Linked DNA regions of Saccharomyces cerevisiae S288C. The gene in region 2 interacts genetically with the main gene of each other region. Each region holds a gene or a part of one and is shown on either strand. Other genes may lie near its edges.

What was found. A genetic interaction does not mean that the proteins touch.
Region 1: mutations in RVS167 (region 2) and CHS3 impair growth when combined (synthetic growth defect), as found in Saccharomyces cerevisiae (5 studies listed by BioGRID, with this or other methods).
Region 3: mutations in RVS167 (region 2) and BNI4 are lethal when combined (synthetic lethality), as found in Saccharomyces cerevisiae (5 studies listed by BioGRID, with this or other methods).

Annotation. Positions count from the first base shown.
Region 1 is NC_001134.8:282,017-289,906, forward strand, and holds CHS3 (chitin synthase CHS3), read right to left. Parts: upstream 5,910-7,890; coding exon 2,412-5,909; downstream 1-2,411. Other genes in the region: FUR4 (uracil permease), read left to right, coding at 1-1,328; POA1 (ADP-ribose 1''-phosphate phosphatase), read left to right, coding at 1,722-2,255; putative thioredoxin peroxidase SCO2, read left to right, coding at 7,429-7,890. UniProt on the Saccharomyces cerevisiae protein: Polymerizes chitin, a structural polymer of the cell wall and septum, by transferring the sugar moiety of UDP-GlcNAc to the non-reducing end of the growing chitin polymer.
Region 2 is NC_001136.10:1,246,493-1,254,125, reverse strand, and holds RVS167 (amphiphysin), read right to left. Parts: upstream 3,941-7,633; coding exon 2,492-3,940; downstream 1-2,491. Other genes in the region: GTPase-activating protein SAC7, read right to left, coding at 1-1,589; CIN10 (Cin10p), read left to right, coding at 4,305-5,972; MUS81 (Mus81p), read right to left, coding at 6,144-7,633. UniProt on the Saccharomyces cerevisiae protein: Component of a cytoskeletal structure that is required for the formation of endocytic vesicles at the plasma membrane level.
Region 3 is NC_001146.8:209,918-217,011, reverse strand, and holds BNI4 (Bni4p), read right to left. Parts: upstream 5,091-7,094; coding exon 2,412-5,090; downstream 1-2,411. Other genes in the region: PDR16 (phosphatidylinositol transporter), read left to right, coding at 1-1,025; exosome non-catalytic core subunit CSL4, read right to left, coding at 1,211-2,089; YNL234W (uncharacterized protein), read right to left, coding at 5,499-6,779.

The DNA.
Region 1 (7,890 bases), on a different chromosome or scaffold from region 2:
TTATTAACAGAGTCGTCATGGCCATCGTTTGGTATAGTGTCCAAGCTTATATTGCGGCAACTCCCGTATCATTAATGCTGAAATCTATCTTTGGAAAAGATTTACAAGACAAAATCCCAGATCACTTTGGATCACCGAATGCTACTACTTACGAGTTCATGTGTTTTTTTATCTTTTGGGCTGCCAGTCTTCCATTTTTACTGGTTCCACCTCACAAAATTAGACACCTGTTTACTGTTAAAGCCGTCTTGGTTCCGTTTGCTTCTTTTGGTTTCTTAATTTGGGCTATCAGAAGAGCTCACGGGCGTATTGCCTTAGGATCTTTAACCGATGTACAACCTCATGGCTCTGCCTTTTCGTGGGCTTTTCTAAGATCACTAATGGGTTGTATGGCTAATTTCTCCACAATGGTAATCAACGCTCCAGATTTCTCTAGATTTTCAAAAAACCCTAACTCCGCTTTATGGTCCCAATTAGTGTGCATTCCATTTTTGTTTTCCATCACTTGTTTAATTGGAATTCTAGTCACCGCAGCTGGTTATGAAATATACGGTATTAATTACTGGTCGCCACTCGATGTGCTAGAAAAATTTTTACAGACTACTTATAATAAGGGCACAAGAGCTGGTGTTTTCTTAATCTCTTTTGTTTTCGCCGTAGCTCAGTTAGGTACTAATATTTCTGCAAACTCATTATCGTGTGGAACTGATATGTCCGCTATTTTCCCCAAGTTTATCAATATCAAGCGTGGTTCATTATTTTGTGCAGCCATGGCGCTGTGTATTTGTCCATGGAATTTAATGGCAACATCAAGTAAATTTACAATGGCTTTGTCCGCATATGCTATCTTTTTGTCCAGTATTGCCGGTGTTGTCTGCTCAGATTACTTTGTTGTTAGAAGAGGATATATCAAGCTAACACACATATATTCCCATCAAAAGGGCTCTTTTTATATGTACGGAAACAGGTTTGGTATCAATTGGAGAGCTTTGGCTGCATATCTATGTGGGGTGGCTCCTTGCTTGCCCGGTTTCATCGCGGAGGTGGGCGCTCCCGCTATAAAGGTTTCTGATGGAGCTATGAAACTATATTACCTAAGTTACTGGGTAGGATATGGCTTGAGTTTTTCTTCTTATACTGCTCTGTGTTACTTCTTCCCTGTACCTGGGTGCCCTGTTAACAACATTATAAAGGACAAGGGCTGGTTCCAAAGATGGGCCAATGTCGATGATTTTGAAGAAGAGTGGAAAGACACAATTGAGAGGGATGACCTGGTAGATGACAATATTAGTGTCTACGAACACGAACACGAAAAGACTTTCATTTAAGCTCTCCATATCTACATCACTTTCTGCATTAATCTGAAATATTTTTCAAATTTTCATGTGTAATGATATTAATCCTTATCTATACTACTTACTTCTATTTACGTTCTCTTTAGCATTTACTTTGTGCATTTGGCCTTCAATGAGCATTAATTTCACTGGTTTTAATATATTCACTCACTTTCATTCGATTTTTTGTTTGCTTTATGGCTTAGCGTTCTTTCCTCTCTCCTTTCTCTTTTTACACACGAGAAAAAATGGATAATTGTTGTATTATGCCATATGCATAACTTTACGATTCGTTATGCTATGCGAACTTGAAGCCCAGATTTCTACACGAAAAGTTTGAGTTTATTAGTATCTTCTCCAAGATAAATATAGCATCAAGTTACAGGTATGTCGAACATCACTTATGTCAAAGGTAACATCTTAAAACCAAAGTCATATGCTAGGATCCTCATCCATTCTTGCAACTGCAATGGCTCGTGGGGTGGTGGGATCGCTTATCAACTTGCTTTGCGCTACCCAAAAGCAGAGAAAGATTACGTTGAAGTATGCGAAAAGTATGGTTCTAATTTACTAGGCAAATGCATATTACTTCCCAGTTACGAAAACTCAGATCTGCTGATTTGTTGCTTGTTTACATCATCATTTGGAGGTTCAAGTCATGGAGAAAAGCAAAGTATTTTGAATTATACAAAACTTGCTTTAGATAAATTGAAGACCTTTAGAGAAGCAAAAGACAAAACTCGAACAAGTGAAGATTCAATCGGTGACTATTTAAACGGCCACATCAAATACCCAATAGGGGAATATAAATTGGAAATGCCACAGATAAATAGTGGCATATTCGGAGTCCCTTGGAAAGAGACAGAACGCGTGTTAGAAGAATTTAGTGGCGACATGAGTTTTACAGTATATCAGCTGTAATTGCCTTAGCCACGTAATATGTGCCTTTAAAGATAGAGAAATATTTATTTATTAAGTTTTAGTTCTAAGGTGTGTTAAAATACCTCTCAAATAAATAAGTTACACACAACCATATATCAACTTGTAAGTATCACAGTAAAAATATTTTCATACTGTCTATGCAACGAAGGAGTCACTTTCCTCCTTCCGATTGAGAATATCTTCCCTTTCAAATTCCCTCCATGTCCTCATTTTAATCTTTGAGTGATCAAATTCACCTTCATTCTCGTCTTGTGCCTTTTTATTACCTCCCGCAATAGTTCTCGTATCACCCCATGAGAAGTCATCAAATTTCCAGTACGCATATGAAGGTAGTACGAAATTCCAAATAGGCAAAGCACAAATATATACGCACATCCACCATAGGTACGACCATCTCGTAGCAGTTATAACAACAATTAAGCCGGGCAGACCAAGAATAATTGCCAGTAAAACTAAAGTGATTACGGGTGTAGGTTTTGATACAATGGCAAAAATAATGACATAAATAGTAAAGCAAATGGCTAACGGCAGTACCATAGTACCAATCAATTCAATACCAATCACAAATTGCATGGAAAAACAGAAAGTGCCACATAAGTCTCTGATTAGAACTAATTCAAAAAGGTTATGTACCGTAGAATTAATCCATCTTCGACGCTGGGAAAGTAAGACTTTGAATTTATCAGGGGCAATAGTTTTACAAGCAGCTTTTGGAACAAATACTTGCTTTCTCTTAGGGAAAGTCTTTAACATTAATGAAGATAAAAATCTATCTTCACCAAGTAATAATAAGTTCTTCTTATGCAAAGTGTTTGTAACATTATCCGAATATCTTTCAACAATATCTGGATTTGCCAATACAGGTACCCAATAACCATCTGAACCTTTAGGAGATTTTATACGATACATTGAGAAACATCCCGGCAAACAAGTTACCGAACCGAAGACAGATTCAAAAGCTTTAGCCTGATGATGCGAAATATAGTACTCAAACACTTGAATTGCAGTTACCCAAGATTGTGCCTTATTAGCGATCTTGGTCTCACCACAAAGACCCATAATCAAAGGATCTTTAACCATTTCAGCGACCATATGAGTTAAAGCATCGGGAAAGACTTTAGTATCAGCATCAACCATAAGTACCGTTTCGTAGAAGTCTGCCATTAGCCCCGTAATCTGCCAAATATTTTTTAAAAGCTGAAATTCCAATTGAGTCATTCTTTCATCAAATGTTATTTTTTCTAAAAAGGACATCAGAATAATTTGAGAATCACGCTTACCTCTGTTACCGGGTTTGGCGGCCCCCTGCTCTGCAGGAGTACCGCACTTCACAATTGTAATGATTGGGACACGTTGTTGATTTTCTGGTGGAATTGTAGAATCGTCATATTTGTAAAAACCCGCATATATCTTGGCCATATTGTGTCTTTTAGAGCCTGATGCCACTGCCACATAGGAGTAAGGTTTAACTTCATCAGGTGGGGTGACAAAGTCGTCCATCATTCCTAACGCTATCTCTGGAGTAGTCTTATCGTTGCCCGAGCCCTTAATTAAACCATCACAAACAACCATCAGTAGTTTATGGGAATTTGGATAATCTGTGGTAGAAAGAGAGTCTAAAGTGGTTCTTAAACCCTCTTCATCCTCAGAATAACAAGTAACAAAACAGATAGTATGAATCAATGGGAACCCGTATGGCATAAAATCCAGTGGTGGTTGTTGAACGATATCGGGATGTATAATCGTCGAATCAAGACTCTGAATCAGCGATGATCCTGGTACAGGAGAGGAAGTCGCTTTATTCCAAAACATCGAGGATGTAGGCAACAAAGTAGATGGATTACGGGAATGTACAGCTTTGTTTTCATTCGAGAGTTTCCAAGCATTTTGAGTGGTCATTGTTGTCATTCCTCTGTATGAACCAGAAGATTGTAGTGAACTGCTCATGGAGGTGTCTAGATCTATCACAGATTCGTTAAATTGAAACATTTTGGAGCTGTGTTTTTTCAGCAAGTCAAAGGTTGAAGCACGCTTGTGTCCCAACGACTTTTTTGAGTATTTCTTTGGCCTCAAATGAGGATCTACTTCCTTTAGAGGAGCTTTTGTTTGAATATTATTAGACCAATCCTCGATATCGTTTGTGTGTTTATCCATTGTTTTATTGTCCACGATATATGCACCTTGTTTCCTAGCTACAGTCCAACGGAAGTAGCAGGCAATTATGAATTTAATTATCACCACTGAAAGAATAAATACCAGAGAAACATACAAAACGACATCAGAGGCAATACAACCGACGGTTTTGGAGTCTACTTCACCAACTTTAATAATTTCGCTCAAACATCTCGCAATTTTTCTTTCATGCCCATTTGACAAAACCAACGAAAGATCATAACCTTGTAAATTTGAAGTCTTCAAGTCATCGAATACAACGGGATAGTCAACGTCATCCTTTTCCAACCAATCAAGAAGATCTAAATCCAAAACGTCGCCATTATAAACAATCAAGTTTCTAGAAGAGTTCTTTATACCATCCCAAGTGAAGTAAACATCAGCTTTCGACTTTAAACCGTAAAATGCGTCCCTATCTTCTTTAGACGTATGACAGTTCCATCCTGCGTAATTTTCAACTGTGAAGTTTGGCTTCGAAGAGCCATCTTGATTCTTTAACTTACAAGGAAAATACCATGCTAAATTATTATCATCGTCATGGGGAATGGAAGAATTACTCTTTGGAGTTATAAGGTTATGACAGTTACCATTCACATTTTGAAACAAGAACGAAGCATCTTTACCAGCATCTGACCAGGGCCCATAAAGGGTGTCTGAATCTACTTCAACGTCTTGTATACCGGAACGCGAGGAAGTATCCAATTCATAAGCCTTACCGTTAATTACGACAAATTCTGTTGATACTTCGTTGTTTTTCAAACGTAGTTTCGAACTACTACAAACGGTTTTAGTGAAACCAAAAGTCAGGAAAGCCACAATCGCACCAATGTACAAGATGACAGAAATTAAAGCAACCTTTTCTCTCCACGCCATTTGTCTTTCCTTCTTTGGCATCCCGCAGAAAGCAAGAATTGGAGCAGGTGCCCAAAACGTAATGAAATAACAGTACATCTGCCAAAATGACAATGTATCATTCGTTTCCTTTCTTAATGGTTTGATAGACTTATTTATGGGCTGCGTGGAGCTTTCTTCGAAATTGTCCACATCACCATCTTTATCAAATTCGTCTTCCGCAACACCTTCATCACTTATTTTAACGGAAGCCTTCTTGTCAGTAGTATTCATATCTTGTAAAAGATAGCTATCCGTTTCGCGGCCACTAAATTTGCTTCTCACTGAGCCTTTGGAGCGCAGGGAGCCACTCCGACGAGTTGCATTTGGGTTTACACCGGTACTTGATGGTAAAACATCCAGGTGATTCATCTGCTCCTGCGTTTTCTGCGCATAATAAAAATGTGGATTATCAGGATTGTTCAGTCGGCTTCTTTCGGGCCGCACTAAAGAGCCTTGTCTATGAGGTGCTCCTGAGCCGACACTGTGTCTTGACCTAAGTAGAGACTCTTCATCTTGATTAAGGTTCAGATAGTAGTCATCAGGATCATCTCCATTCAAGCCGGTCATTCTAATTTCTTTCCTGCGGATAGTCTAAACAGGACCTTTGAAGAAAATGGGACCTACACCAAAAATACTCGAGAACTTTGCAAATCGGTAAACGTTTATAACCGTCTACCAATGTGATTCTTCTAGCAGGATTTACTACAAGTCGAAATGTTGGTACTGAATGTAAATCTGAAACACAGGAAAGAATATTTTTGATTTCTATTTTTATGCTCTTATTTTCATTTTTGATTTTTTTTTTCGAGGTCTGCGCCAGCGCCAATAACGCGTTTTATCCAAATAGGCAGCCAAAGAGGGTCACCTATGCAGGTGCTGAATGCAATACAACTGCGGGCTAACTGTCCATCGACGCTATTGAATATGCTTCAAGAAATATCCAGTCTCATGCACATGTCAAATATGTGGGTGAGGGCGCAAATACAACGCACGATTATATATACATTTGTGGCTACGTAGTACGTGCGGAGATAGGCAGGTATTTGTTCAAGGATGTAAATAAGAACTACAATGCTTAGTTCTCGAATCCTAGAATGTGAGTAAATCTCACAAGCACCGCTTCTATAAATTTGTCTAGGGTAATTTGTAATCTTTTCCCATGCGGATTCTCTTAAATACGGTACAGCCGTCGCTGCTGCGGTGTGATTCTGGTTTCATAGATCTGGAAAAAGAAAGCGAGACACAATACAAGAGCTTTGTGACACAGCGTACGGAGAGAATAAGATAAAGAACAGTTCCTGGCGTTTTTAATTGAACTTTTGTACTCGTCTCTTTATTCTCACGAATTTTTTTACCGCCGTTTTCATTTCCATTGCAAAGGAGGGAAAATATAAATGTTTTTATAGAGGCAGTATATCTTTAATTTCATAGCATATGCAGTTTAGAAAAAAGACGTAAATTCGTTGCCCTAGTCACGCTGGTTACATAAATTGGTCGTTGAATTGACTTTTAAGACATCCAGTTGGTGTGTTTGCTCCAAATAGTGCTGACGCATCTTGCCAATTCTCGTCAATTTAGCACGGAATGCTTGTTACTTATTCGATAACGCTTTTACCTTGATTGCATGTAGTCACTATCCTCAAACCTTTTCTAAGGTTGCCCTATTGGCGACAGAAAAGCAGGACGAGAAATCTAAATAACCAACGTGTGGTTTATTAACTATGACGGTTGGTTTGCTTGCCGCCCCAAGTTATAGAAGACTGCCCTTCATCCCGGGGTAGCTATCATAGAATCTGTCGATAGTTACAATTTTGGGTGGGGTGTTTTCAAAAATGGACGGATATGCCGGTCTTTGAAACTTCGATGATGTAGCCTATTGTTTTAATTTTCTGCTTGATCCTTTCGCTCTTTTTAGGGATAAAAAAGAAAACCTAACAAAGTATGAATTTCGAGAAGTCCCATCGATAGTAGTCAAACAATTGCTAAAGAGGGCTACGGATCGTCTACAATACCTTCGTAAAACAGCAGCTTACAGGATCTTTTATAATATCACCATAGAAAGGGGAATTTGGGAAGCGAGAGTAAAATGTTGAATAGTTCAAGAAAATATGCTTGTCGTTCCCTATTCAGACAAGCGAACGTCTCAATAAAAGGACTCTTTTATAATGGAGGCGCATATCGAAGAGGGTTTTCAACGGGATGTTGTTTGAGGAGTGATAACAAGGAAAGCCCAAGTGCAAGACAACCACTAGATAGGCTACAACTAGGTGATGAAATCAATGAACCAGAGCCTATTAGAACCAGGTTTTTTCAATTTTCCAGATGGAAGGCCACCATTGCTCTATTGTTGCTAAGTGGTGGGACGTATGCCTATTTATCAAGAAAAAGACGCTTGCTAGAAACTGAAAAGGAAGCAGATGCTAACAGAGCTTACGGTTCAGTAGCACTTGGCGGTCCTTTCAATTTAACAGATTTTAATGGTAAGCCTTTCACTGAGGAGAATTTGAAGGGTAAGTTTTCCATTTTATACTTTGGATTCAGTCATTGC
Region 2 (7,633 bases):
AAGTCGCCATTGTCTCCTGTGTCACTCAAAATTCCCGGTTTATGTAACCACGGGAATAAACTCGTTCTTCTTTTATTACTAGCAATAACATCCGGAGGAACCGGAGTAGAACCAAACGATTTTGAGTGTGGTCTTCTTTGCTTCGGAGGCTTTAACATTTTTGAAGTCTGTAGGTCTGATGAGTTCTCCGGTATCGAAGTAGATATTGGCGATAACGTCGTATGGTCTAGTTTATTGTTATTGTCAATCGCCGGTGGGTTTTTATTGGAAGAAACTATTGGTGGCGAATCCGATGAGGTGATCTTTGGTATTTCTATAGGATCAGTTTTCTGTTTATCTCCATTATTTTTCTTATTTTCGGTTGACAACCGTTCCTGTTGTTCCCTTTTAGCCAACTTCAAAAGATGGGGTAATAGCTTGTACGAGTATTCAATCAAAAATTCCACTACTAGTCGGGATAACTCGTATTCTTTGGGGTCCATATCATGTTGAGGATGCGATAATATTGAAGGTTGGAAGATGGCCGCCAAGTTTCTACCAGACATTAGGTTAAACTGTGATTGCCTTGCAAAAAGACTCAGTAAATCGAGTAGGTATATAGTTAGCTGTTTCGTGTCATTTGATAAGGTAACAAAGAGCTCTTCATATTCCTTGATAGCTGCCCTTATATCGCGGGTCAGCCTTCTCTTATGACGTATTTTTCTTCGTCTTTTTTCTTCATCATCTTTAGCGTCCTCCTTTTCGATGTCACCATCATTAGCACCATCATCATTATAGTTCTGTCTACTTGATTTTACTGTTACATTATTTGTTTTATTCGCATTCGGATGAGAAACTTCGTGGGTCAACATATGCCTTAGGATTCTTGGTCTAGATCGTAGCGGGTTTCTGAATTGTTCATATAGGGATAAAGGTATTAGTGGTTCGGCCAAATTATTAAGGTATCTCCTCAGGAGCGATGCAACATCGTGCACTGTATATGTTTCCCAATCGTTGAATTTGGTACCATAATCAGGTGGCGACGAGAATATGTATTGAAGGGCTTTTACTCTTTTACCATTGCCCGCTATACGAAATATACCCGAGGTCTCCAATCCATTTGCTTTTAAGTATGCGCCGCACTTGGCTACCACGATGGGTATCCGACCAAAACTCACCAACTCACTTTGAACAATGACCTCTGCACTGGCGACGCTCAACGATTCTGCTAAAGTAACACCGAAAACCCTACCTGTGAAACCATTTCTATTAGATAAAAACATATCTCTGTAATTTTTGAACTCTGCGTGAGGCGATGTTCCGGAATTAGCGTTGTTATTGTTATTGTTCTGTTTCGCGGATTTGGAAAAGGATTTCCTATCTTTGGTTGGGGTATTATATGAATATGGTCTTGAAGATAATGGAGGCCGTTTTAAAGTAGTTGGTTGAGCATTCCTTGAAAGAGAAGTTGGTGATCTAGGGACTGTAATATTTTCGGATGACATACTCTTAGGGTTGTTTATGAACTGCTTCCAAAAACTTGGGACATGACCTTTAGAGGGAGAAACATTTTCAATTTTGGAGCCTTGTTTAAGAGTATTATTTGGCATTATAAAGATATTTTTAGTTTATCTTAGTGGTATTGAGAGGATGAAAGTAAGACCAAAGCAGGAATCAAATTGGAAGCTCGAAAGCAAACTTGTGAAGGCTAATTTCTCTGCCCCTCTACTTTAGAAAAAAATTGCTGTGAAATGAGAACGGCTTTTTGAACACTGCAATATAACTTTCTGGAGAAAATTTGTTCTGATAACTTTGTGATGCGTGAAAGCTTAAGAGATCAAAAATATGTGGAGTTTTCAAGTCACTAGTGAATAAAACCAGTGGAATGGGTAAAAAAATTTTTTGTAACGGGCCTGCTATTCTAGGAAACCTAACGAAGACTTTATCAATTTGTTTTTCCTCTTCTGAGATCGTCCGATCAAGCCTAACAGTTTCGCGAGTAAAAAGGATGATTTCTTCTAAATTTAGTATTAAAGTAATGAATGCGTACACCCTGCTTGAAGATGTTGTGCAATGTAGCTCAGTTTCTTCCGCGCCAGGCCACTAGTCTTGCTTTTTTCCTGTTTGTCAGCACCGGTTTCCCAACTGGGCTGTGTCATCGACAAGACAGAGATGGTGTTTTATAAAAGAGAAAGGAGACTGAGGAACGTCGTTTTAGGAAGACTAGGCGAGGTGAGCGAGAAAACTGATTTCCCCATATGGTAGGCTTTGTACCATATTGGGAAGGTGGCAGCCCTATTGGGAACGCGCTCCTTCCCTTTTGGGATATTGTCAGTAGGGTAATATGCTCGCCGCATGCCCGTAATAGATAGACTCAAACGATACTTTGTTGGTGGAAGGATGAATTACCCTATATAGTATTTAAATTAAGAAACATTACAATAAAAGAAAAAGGTAATGGTAACATCTCACAATAGAAGGTAATGAATACAGAGGGATGCAGGGGCCTCCTCTAGTTCTTGTTGAGTTGCACGTAGTTCCCAGGAAACACACCTTGCTGGCCATTGTATCTTCCTGTCCACCATTCGTTCACGTCCGGAGTACGCTGGACAATTTCTATAACTGCGCCGGCAGGGAAAGACAAATCACCAGCAGCTTGAGCTTGGTAGTCATACAATGCGGTAACAGTTTCAACGCCAGGAGCTGCCGCTACGGCCGCGGCTGGTGTGCCCGCAACAGGTGATGTTAGAGGATTAGAGTAGGCCGGTGGTGGTCCCTGTTGCTGCTGTGGTGATTGTTGGAAGCCTAGCCCAGTGAGCGGTGGAGATTGCGCAGCAGCATACTGTGGATAAGTACCCGGAACAGCGCCAGCAGCAGCACCAGCAGCAGTACCAACAGCAGCAGCAGTACCAACGGCGGCAGCAGTACCATACTGGGCAGCAGGTTGAGCGGCGTAACTTGGTGCTGCGGCACCATAACCGTATCCTGTAGGGGTTGGAGAAGTGGCAGTTGCTGGATCATACCCAGCACCATATCCGACACCGCTTGATGCGCCACTGACGGGTGAGCCTTCGGCGGTTGCTACACCATACTTCCTTCTGGTCATCTCCAATTTTGCCTTAGAGTAACCGAGTTTAAAGTGTGTAATAGTCAAGGCGTCCGTTTGTTCTTCCACATTGCCTTTCTTGGCAATGTACGACTCTACAATGTCACTGTTCAAATCAAAATATGGAATCTTCATGTCTTGAAGTCTATTATACAAAGTGTAAAAAATGTTCAATTGCATGAAATAAAATGAGACAAATAATGGTTTCACAAATTCAGCTTCCAAACTGAACAGTATTGGTAATTGAGTCTTTAGCAAGTCGTTATAGTAATCATATTCTTGTTGAGCCACTTCCACTTGAGCTTGTGCTTTATACAATCTTTCTTCGTCTTTGGCGGTTGGTTCCTTCTTCTTTTCATGCTTGTTATAAGTGTTTAGATGTCTATCTAAATCTAATTTTTTGTGATTTCTCTTGGTGGCCATTTTACGAATATAAGTAATAATCTTCAACAGTTCCTGGCATGGCGTAACAATTTTTTCTTCCACCAAAGCCAGATCCGGTTTCAATGTTTCCTGTAATTCTGCGACAATTGCCCTATACTGTTCACTTGCTTCAATACCTTGTGGGTTGTCCTCTGGTATGGTAGCGTTAGGGTCACTCATTTTACCACTGATAGGTTTGAAAATTTCCTCCATGGATTTGGCAAATCCAATTTGGTGTGTCAGCATTCCATTCACCGCAGTCGAGTATCTCTTCGATTCCTCACTTAATTTTTTTGTCTCCTGCTCCAATTCTTGAAAACGACGTTCTGCATCCTCGTAAACAGGATCCTCTGTCTGCTCACCCATCTTGAACTTTTGACGGAAGGACTGAGGAGCCCTACTAACAGCCTTGGTAAACCCTTTAAAACTCATGTGCACTTATTGGCTCCTTGATTCTTGGTGTTAAATGACCAGGTGAGCCTCACTTTACTTTATTCCTTAAAACAGGTTGTTAAACATCGACACTACAAAGCCCTCTCCTTTTTTTTTTCCGGTACCAATATTATCGCAACATCCGAACATCGGTCGGATTGATAATTTAGTCAGGTAGACTACCATAGCAACTGGAAGGTATACATAACAAAATTTCCATACGAAAGGAACTTCTTGAACTATATACAACCTTATATGTGCAACTGTAGCGTGCACTTATAGTCCATGGTCAAAAAGTATCTTTTCTCAGTAGAAAACAAAAGCGTACAGGCAAGCGACAGGAAAGTCAAAACTTGATAGAGGTATGTCTACAGATGAAAGTGAAGACGTTTATTCTGATCTGTATTCCATTATCTCCCAGGTAACATCCAATACTGCCAATGACATCGAGCAACTCCCATATGCTTTAACGTTCAAAACGTCGTTAATCTTCGTTGGTGCTACCATTGGTGGGCTTTTATTCGGCTATGATACTGGTGTTATATCAGGTGTTCTGCTTTCTTTAAAGCCCGAAGATCTATCTTTGGTAGTTTTAACGGATGTTCAGAAGGAGCTGATAACTTCCAGTACAAGCGTCGGATCATTTTTTGGCTCTATTCTGGCATTTCCTTTAGCAGATAGGTATGGAAGAAGAATTACTCTCGCAATCTGCTGTTCAATTTTTATCCTAGCTGCAATTGGAATGGCTATAGCAAGAACATTGACGTTTTTGATTTGTGGGAGATTGCTGGTTGGGATCGCTGTTGGAGTGTCTGCCCAGTGCGTCCCTCTATTTCTGAGTGAAATTTCACCTTCCAGAATCAGGGGTTTTATGTTGACATTGAACATTATTGCCATCACTGGAGGTCAATTGGTTTCCTATGTGATTGCGTCCCTTATGAAAGAGATTGATAATTCATGGAGATATTTGTTCGCACTTTCTGCTATTCCAGCTATTCTGTTCCTTTCAATACTGGATTTTATCCCTGAATCGCCACGATGGTCCATTTCCAAGGGAGACATTCTATATACCAGGGATTCTCTAAGAATGCTATATCCTACTGCATCTACATATCATGTGAATAGTAAAATTAAGCAGCTGATAATTGAACTCGATAAGTTACGACTATACGAAGATGCAAGTGAACCTTTACTAGTACAGTCCCAATCGGTTATTCGATACATGGATAGTTCAACCTCAGGAACTCTTAGCCCACCTAACATTAAAAGACTTTCCTCGAACACAGAAAGAACTAGCAACACAATGTCCTCCTCATCAGCATATCTATCGGCGTTGCGAGGCCCAGCTCCAAACGGTGCCCTGGCATCTAACAAAAAGAAAAGACACAGAATGGAGCCACGCACAATAAGAGCGTTAATAGTAGGTTGCATGTTAATGTTTTTCCAGCAAATCACTGGCTTTAATGCTTTTATGTACTATGCGGCAATAATATTTTCCAAATTTAATATAAAAAACCCTCTACTGCCTCCAATTTTGATTGCCTCAACGAACTTCATATTCACTTTTTTCGCCATGTACACCATGGACTCTTTGGGAAGAAGAGCCATTCTTTTGAGAACAATTTTGATTATGACTGTTGGGTTACTTCTTTGCAGTGTAGGTTTCGGTCATGACCAAGTCAATTTACTTTTAATTTCTGTTGTAATTTATGTTGCAGCATATGCTTCTGCGATGGGCAGCGTTCCATGGACCTGTGTGGAATTTCTCCCCTTGAACAGGAGATCATTTGGGGCATCATGTATAGCCTGCACAAATTGGTTGACCAATGCATTTGTTTCAATGACATATCTGAGCACTATTAACACCATTGGTGATGAAAATACAATGCTCATTTTTGCTTTTTTCACAGTTTGTGCCTGGTTTTTCGTATATTTTTGGTATCCAGAAGTCAAAGGTTTGTCACTGGAAGAGGTTGGAAGGGTTTTTGATAATGGAATTGATGTTCATTATGTCTTTCGTACCTACCATTGATGAGTTGTCAAGTGGCATCATAATGCATTGGGGCGGCTTTCAGATATGCTTCTGGTATATTTGTCCGTGAGAAATTAAGGCTTCTTTTCTTATATATGTATATATTAGTTAAAAGAATATCATCACTTTTTTCTTTATAAAACCTTGCAGGGATGACTATATTTCAAATTGCTAAAGTTTACCAAAAGCATCATATATCTTTTCTGAAAGAGATTTAGTAATTTTCTTCGCACCAGGTGCATCTCCCAGTACATTAAACATCAACAATTTAGCCTCTTCTTCCGAGGAGCACGTTTTATATGCCATTAGTATTTTATTCAGGGTAGGAAATATTTCTTGGATGGCTACTGCTTTTTCTAAAGATATACCTTTAACAAGCATTAAAACATGTATAGTTAGCTCACCAACCGTCTTTAGATCGCCTTTTCCCATTAGTTCTTGAAAGCATTCAAGATTATGACAGCATTCAATACCGCCTTTTCGTTCGAATTCTCGACGAAACTGTAGAAGCACCTTTTTATAATCGTCCTTGCTTTTAAGGTCACTTGGAAATATAACTATGAGATCTTTTTGAGAATAGTGATGAGAAATTACAGTATGCAACGCATGTATCTTTTCCACAGTTTCATCCGAATTGCAAGTTCTTATCATGGAGAATTTGTAATACACTAAAATGACCCAAAGCGCGGTCTTTAGGGCCTCATTCATATTTCCAATGTTGCCACTCATAGTCTCCTCAATGAGATAGTATTTGTGTTCACAGCCAGATTTCTCTAACCTATTTTTTTGCTCCATAAACCTGTTATCCCTTATACTTAAAGCTAAATCGTCTAGCCTTTTTCTTTCAACTATGGTGTTGAGCACACACTGCAACCCGGTATTTTTATTCTTGGCAACCCATATAATATCACCCAAAGCGAGTTGCCTTATCTCTGACTTCATACCTTTTCTTTCAAATGCCCTTGAAAAAAACTCACGATCAGATTGTGACTTTATTTCTCTGTGATCAATAATTGGGAAAACTTCGAAATCACCACTACACCACAATTCGTAACTTACTCCGTTGTACCTTCTCCTCTTTATTGTGCTTTTAGCCTTTAATGCGGAATCAGGTACTGTTTGATCATCAGAGACCTCTTCCAATTTATGAGAAGATATATTAGTTTGGCTATTCAGTCTATCATTTTTAAATACATTGTTCTGCAGCCTTTGCGGCGTGCTCAAATCTTGAAAAGTTATATCCAGCATGAATGAAGTGTTATTTATATCGCAGGGCTCTTCTTCCTTACCATATTCACCACGGAGGTCAGTCAGATTTGCTGTGAATTCACTACTTTCATTCCTGGTTACGGAATACTCGTTAGGTTCTTCATTTTCTTTTGGAAAAGAGATTCCGTCTGCCGTCTTTAAGCTCTTTGTTAGTTCTACACCTTCCTCTGTTAGCGAATACCGTTTTGGTCTACCTTCCTCAAGAACCAACGAATGTTTTTTAAGTGCAGCAATAGACGACCAAGCACCGTAGAATTCTTTTGTGGAGAAATTTGGAGTCATACAATGGTCACTGTATTTTCCTGCAACCTCGATGATTTGCTCTTTACTAACGCCTCGAGGAATGGCATTAAGCTCGAGTAAGGAAAGAAGGATAGCGTAGCCTCCAGATC
Region 3 (7,094 bases), on a different chromosome or scaffold from region 2:
CTCCAGAAGACCCAAAAAATTTGATTAATATTGATAAGCCTATCAAAGAACTTCCTGCTTCGATAGCTATTCCAAAAGAAAAACCACTTACAGGTGAGCAACAAAAAATGTATGACGAAGTGCTAAAACATTTCAGTAACCCTGACTTGAAGGTTTATACAAGTGAAAAAAATAAGTCGGAGGATGATCTTAAACCCTTAGAGGAAGAAGAAAAGGCATGGTTGACAAGAGAATGTTTTTTACGTTACCTAAGGGCTACTAAATGGGTGCTAAAAGACTGTATCGATAGAATCACCATGACTCTAGCGTGGAGAAGAGAATTCGGTATTAGTCATTTAGGTGAAGAGCATGGTGATAAAATAACTGCTGACTTGGTGGCCGTCGAGAACGAATCAGGTAAGCAGGTGATTTTGGGTTACGAAAACGATGCTAGACCTATCTTATATTTGAAACCGGGCAGACAAAATACAAAGACTTCTCACAGACAGGTACAGCACTTGGTCTTCATGTTGGAAAGAGTTATCGATTTTATGCCAGCTGGTCAAGACTCTCTAGCTTTGCTAATAGACTTTAAAGATTACCCTGATGTTCCTAAAGTACCTGGCAATAGTAAAATCCCACCTATTGGTGTAGGGAAAGAAGTGCTGCATATTCTACAAACTCATTATCCAGAAAGACTAGGAAAAGCACTTTTGACGAATATTCCTTGGTTAGCATGGACTTTCTTGAAGTTAATTCACCCTTTTATTGACCCACTGACCCGTGAAAAGCTAGTTTTTGATGAACCATTTGTTAAATATGTCCCTAAGAACGAACTAGATTCGTTGTATGGTGGTGATCTGAAATTCAAGTACAATCATGATGTTTATTGGCCAGCTCTGGTGGAAACCGCGCGTGAAAAAAGAGATCATTATTTTAAGAGGTTTCAAAGCTTCGGTGGTATTGTAGGTTTAAGTGAGGTTGATTTAAGAGGTACTCATGAAAAACTTCTTTACCCAGTAAAATCGGAAAGCAGTACCGTGTAAAGGCAAATTTAGATAGATAATGATAATGCACTATAATATATAATAAATAAAAGAGAATAAAAAGTTTAATCACGTTCCCGCTTCTTTTTCCTAACCATCAAAGAATGCAATCTAAAGAAGAAGAAGCGAATACCCTCTTTTAAATATATACGCGTCTATATGCACTGTAGATAAGCTGTTACATATCAAAAAGGTTTGGCACATTTGCGCTTTTCTGTAGCGCCTGTAACCGGTGAAGTCATCATTTGCCAGTCTGTAGCATACATCAATCCACCAGCACCATTAGCAGCTCTGGCGAACACGACCCCAAGGTCATTCCTTGCAGTGGTCAAATAGTAGTTGGTTCCGTCACCTAATGATAAAACTTGCGCCCTAACAATATCTCCCGGCTTGAAACATTCTATCACTTTCACACGATCTCTGTCTGTAGACCGTACATCCTGAGACCTGATTATACCTCTGAATGTCTCACCTAAATCTGATGATGCTTGAGAAACAGAGAACGTAGCTGCTCCAGAACCGCCACCAGCAGCGACTATTCCCGATCCATTACTGCCGATGCCACTATCAATTGGAGATGGTTTATCTTCCACAGCTAAAATTTCGACATTGGCTCGTTGCAACGAAAGCCTTGTCACCCTGGTCAGCACAATATCACCTTCCTTCGGTAGGTTATTGGCAAAATCATTATTAGCATATTTGTTGGTTTTACGACCCTTTTCTGTCCCAGGAAGCACTGAAACCAGAATATTTTTTACAGTTCTTCTTGTGACATCATTAGGTGATGCATCTACTGATTTTTCTTCCTCTGTAGATTGATCAGTGCCTTCACGCTCTTCTTCCTGATCAGTTTTTTTTTCTTCCTCACACCTCACTGTCCCAACTAGTGTAGCAGTTATAGCTTCTAAAGTTCGTCCGTTGTGTTCATATTGAATTAGTTTAGTTCCGGGACCGGGCACATAATTGAAAATTATATCTTCGCCATCTTTATTTTCCGTACCGTACTGTGGGCATATTAGTTTACCTGGATAAGCTATTTCTGGAAACTGAAAATTGCATGCCATTATAATACACTTATAGATTGAGGTATTCAATGCTCTGGAAAAAATCAAAGAATCTTTAATATACAAATGCGTAGTTAATCATGCCGTACCATAAGCTCATCATCAGTGAATTCTGGATCTTATTTTTCTTTCTTTTTTCAATATTTTTTGGAAATTTTTACTTCACGTGACGGAGACGGGTAATGCAGACGGTATTTTGAAATGATGCCGCAAATACAACACATAACACCCAAGATTCTTGCGATAAATTATAGGTTTATAAAAACTAGAATGTCTTGATATGTATGATTTGATTCATTTCCATTTCTCCCAGTTTTCTGCTCTAATAAAAATGTGTGTAACATCGCGAATCATCGTGTACTTCCATTGCGCTCTTTAACTCATTTAATTCCAATTTGATCATTTGAGCCAGTTGTGGAGTAAGCTGGTTACAAGTGGAAATTTCTGGATGTCTATCATATTCGAATTCTCCATAAGTGTCGTAAAGTATTATCTGGGACGAAAACCGGACACCCTGGTCATTATTACTGTTTACATACACCTCACCTAGACTTGTTAAGTCTGATTTTACGGGAGAATCAGGCGTCATGGAGTCAATAAAAGAAGTATTCATTCTTGGGGCTTTTAGTCCTTTAAAGGACATTGAAACAGGTCTATTGGGTTCGAATTCTGGTAAATATGCATTATTTCTTGGAGTAACTTCTATGGGCTGTTCTATGTGTTTGTTGAAATCTTCATTCTCAAATTCGTTGTCATTTATTTCACTTCCGTCTTGTTCAAATGTATGTAATTGACCTTGACGCTCATCTCCGTATGTAGTAGCTCCAGCAGCGGAATAAGATTGAGTTTCTCTTTCTTTGTAACTATCCTCTTTGTTATTTCGTGTATCAAAAGTACCAGAGCGATTTACTTCATCATTTCCAACAGGTTCAGGGGTTTCTGTTGCATATGAGGCCGTTGTATCTCCCAAGTCTAGGTCTAGATTGAGATCATCATCACCGAAGTTAATAAAACTTGCAAACTCCATTATATCAGAAATTAACTCGTTATCATCATCTGCAAAAACGCTTTGCCTTTCAGAATCCTTCTTCAGAGGTTCTTCTCTTGGTTTTGGTACATCCCTTTCAACTTCAGTTTTTTCTTCATCAGAGGCCATCACTAGCTGGTCAAATTTTTGTTCAATAGACTCTAAAAATATGTCATCTTTTTTTAGTGGACCACTATCGTCCTTGATATCTAAAAAGTCCTCATTCGTGGTACCTTCGTAAGAGTGTTCTCTGGAGAAATTATCTGAGTATTCGAACCTTCCATTCTTTAAAATGCTGCTAGCAGGAGACTTCGTCAAGTCTGGAGTAGATAATACAACAGAAGATGCCTCAGTGATGAACATTCCCTCACTTTGCGCTTTGATCGATAGCGTATCTGTCAATGACCTTCTTTGCGAGTTCATTGAACTTCTCTTGTTAGACTTTGTAGATCTTGTTCTTTCTAAAGAAACGATCGAGTCGACTTCATGATTATCCAAAAATTTTGGGAAAAGAACCTCACCTGTATCGTGTTTGGAAAATGCTGGTGAGGGTGCTTCGTAGTCCAGTGATAAAAAATTATCCTTGGTTGGTAATTGAAGATCATTTTTGGCATCATCATCTTCTCTTACGTGTTCTTGTAGCGGGGTATTTATCTGTTTATCACCTCCCAATATGAGATCCATGTTTAAAGGAGTAGGTTTTCTCTGATCAATTGATCTCGTTACGTGATCTATTTTCACGGGAGTATCGTCGTGGTTTTTTCGTAGTAGAGGTGATTCAGTGGATAACACTGATGCGGCGTCAATTATTTGTTCAGTATCTTGCTTTTTGTCCTTGGATTTTGGGGTTCTTTTTTTTTGCCTCATTGGTTCCTTTCGAGGTGAGTCTGATGTTTCAATTTTTCCCTTTAGGAAGGAATTGAAAATGCTACTGCTACTGTGAGACTTCTTCTTTAGTTTTTCAGGCGTTTTTAAAGAGGTTTGAATATTCATTGAGAAAGTGCTCGATGAAGACATCTTATTTTTTTCATTCGTTACACTATTATTACCAATAACTGGTTTCGGTTCTTTCTTCTTCAGAAATGAAAATATACTCTTTTTCTTTTTATGCATAGAAGTGTCTTCAAGTACCGAGCCTGCTGAAGTAGTCCTTTGGGCAGAAGAATCAGTATACTTTCGCGCTTCTGCTTTGTTTAAACGAACTTTTGGGTTGTATAATTTACTCGAAGGAGGCGAGGGTTTCGGATCCTCTTTTAAAAATGGTGCGCTATGTGTTGTGCTTTCAGTTTCTGAATTAATGATAGTATTTTCCTCCCGCTTAACTGGTAAATTGTTGTCTCGTTCGAGAATAGTACGTCGTGTACTAACTTTGCTCCGAGGTCCCTGAGAATCAGGTTTTACTCTAGGAGTGGACAAAAAGTCAGGTTCTTCGAAAGACGGTAAACTCAAAGGGGCAACTTGAATACTATTGGATCCGTCAATGTCAATAAGGTTTGGAGAGGTCATCGCCAAGTTTTCATTTGCTTCCTCTCGTACAGACAGCCTGGATCCAGTTATATCCTCGTGATAATTGATCGAGTTGTTTTGCTCTTCGGCCTCTTCTTCTTCTTCTATTATGGAAGACTCAATATTTTGTGCCTTTCTAGTTTTTTGGTCAGCATATTTGGATCTTTCGTTCAGAATATCAGCCAATGCACTTAATGAGGGGGAAGTTGTCATATTTACCGTTTGTACTTCTGAGTCTCGGGCATTACTTTCTCCAAACGACCGCTGCAGAACTGAGCTTTCAACATCCCTATCAAGGACGGATTCGCATGGCTTTATTGATGAATTTAGACTTTGATCTGATATCTCCTTCAATATCAGAGAATTTCGAAAGGTTCTAGCATGATCAAGTGTATTTATCGACGTCGACGAATAAAAAGTAGAATTTAAAAGTTCTGAGGACTTTGAATCTGAAATACTATCCGACATATTCTGTTGAATACGTAGTGATATATCGTTATTAATAAAAACGCTGCTCGTACGGCTTTTGCACTCTGGTTGTTGAGATTTCTTTGTCAATTTATTTGAGTCGCTTTTCCTGTTGTTTATTTGCAAAGTCAAAACCTGTACTAATAAGCGAACTTGAGGGGGTCAACTCTAAGTGTGAGAATATTACACGTCTTGTTCTAAAGAAGATATAAAGCCAATCTGATTTCTTCGAATCTGAAATGATTTTTCATACTCGGGACGATAGAAGAGAGAAGTTGACTTGACGCGTCTCCGCTGACGCGCCTATATAAGACAAAGATTAGCTCGCGGGTAATAAAGAACAGGCAGTGATCTAAAGAATATATAATATAACCTGGGAAACTTATACACTTAATGGTACGGTTGTAGTTACATAATCGAGCAGTTCTTCTGCTGAGCAGTTTTTTGCAATAAATGGATTTTTTCATCATAATTATTTTTCTTGGTATTACTTTCCACGACGGTACTGCTACCGATGCTTGGTTTTGTACTTCCAGAGCCCTTTGGTGAGATTGGAGGCGTCGATTCACGGTCGCTTTTTATTGGAGTAGAAGAATTGTCTAAGAGTATTTCTGTAGGAATTTTATTTGTCGGTACTTGTGTTATATTATGAGGTATAGTAGCGTTTTTAGTTTTCACCATTTGTAGCTTGTTAACTGTACTTATATCATGCATCGCAAGTTTGGGAATGGAAAAATTTAAAACCACAGAGTCACCATTATACGAAAAATCTGGTTGAATCTTTTCCATTGGGTCCTTCCCTGCAGTAATCATACAATTTGCCAAATATGAGTAAAGTTGTCCCCATAGATTTTTGAGTTCCAGTGTGAGAAAAGATCCAAACCTGTCCTGCAATGTAGTCATAAATGCTTTTCCCATTACTTCGAAACCAACGGTTTTGATGCCGAGAATTCTGGAATGGCGTTTTCCTAATTTCACAATATAATCATCTAGGACATGAACGTTTTCAAGGTTGTCAATAGCAGAATCAAGGACCTTACAGAACGAAACTGCTTGATGTTTTAATGATGGAAAATATTCTTCTAACAAGGGATCCATTGCAATCAAATTGTCATAAAACTGTGAACAAAATAGTGCAGTATCAACCTTGTTATCATTGTCCCTTTGTTTTGTTTTACGTGGCCTGGCAGTAGGGTCAATAGTTTTGGAAATCATACCGTCAGGAGCAGTATTCAAATAGGGTCTTTCTGTTGAAGTAATATGTTTATTGGAATACAGAAGTGCTTGAAAAACTTTTAATTCTTTAGGTGTTAAATACTCCCTGAGGAGGATATCCCAGGACATTCGAAGTAACAGCAGATCTCTTGCATTAACTTTAAAGTCGAATCCTTCTGTATTCGGGGAGTCACCACGATCTATCTTGACCTGGTAGACACTACCTTCGGAACGTGAAATAGATTGTGGCATAAAATCGCTTCCGGAGTTTTTGGATGACATTTCACTTCTCATGGAATGATCATGAGAGCCAGGTCTCTCGTTTATTTTCAAATTATCGACTGGACCTATACTACTGCTGTTGTAGGAAGGCAGGGTTACGTTGTACATCATCGGTTTCGTATGGTGGACATTCCCGCTAGACATGTCGCTGTTGGTTAACAACTGCGAATGAAGTATTTTTTCTCCTGTCATACACAACCAGCTTATATGTGGATGAATGCAAACAACTGCAGCGGTCCGGTGGCGAGTCCCTTGAGGGGCAGACTCATATAAAATGGTTGCATAACGATTGCTATTTTTCAAAGGAACATTATTGCTCCGGCTCGTTCGAGCCTAAAAACCTTTTTTTTTGAAGAGGTTTTTCCGATGCCCCTTTTGCCTACGGAGTTTTCACTATCTGCCACGTAGATCGGGACATCTGCACAGAAAATTCCGTAGGAGAGAAATGCGTACCCTTGGTATTCTAGAAGAAAGAAATTCCAGACACTGTCACTCTCATTTCTTTTT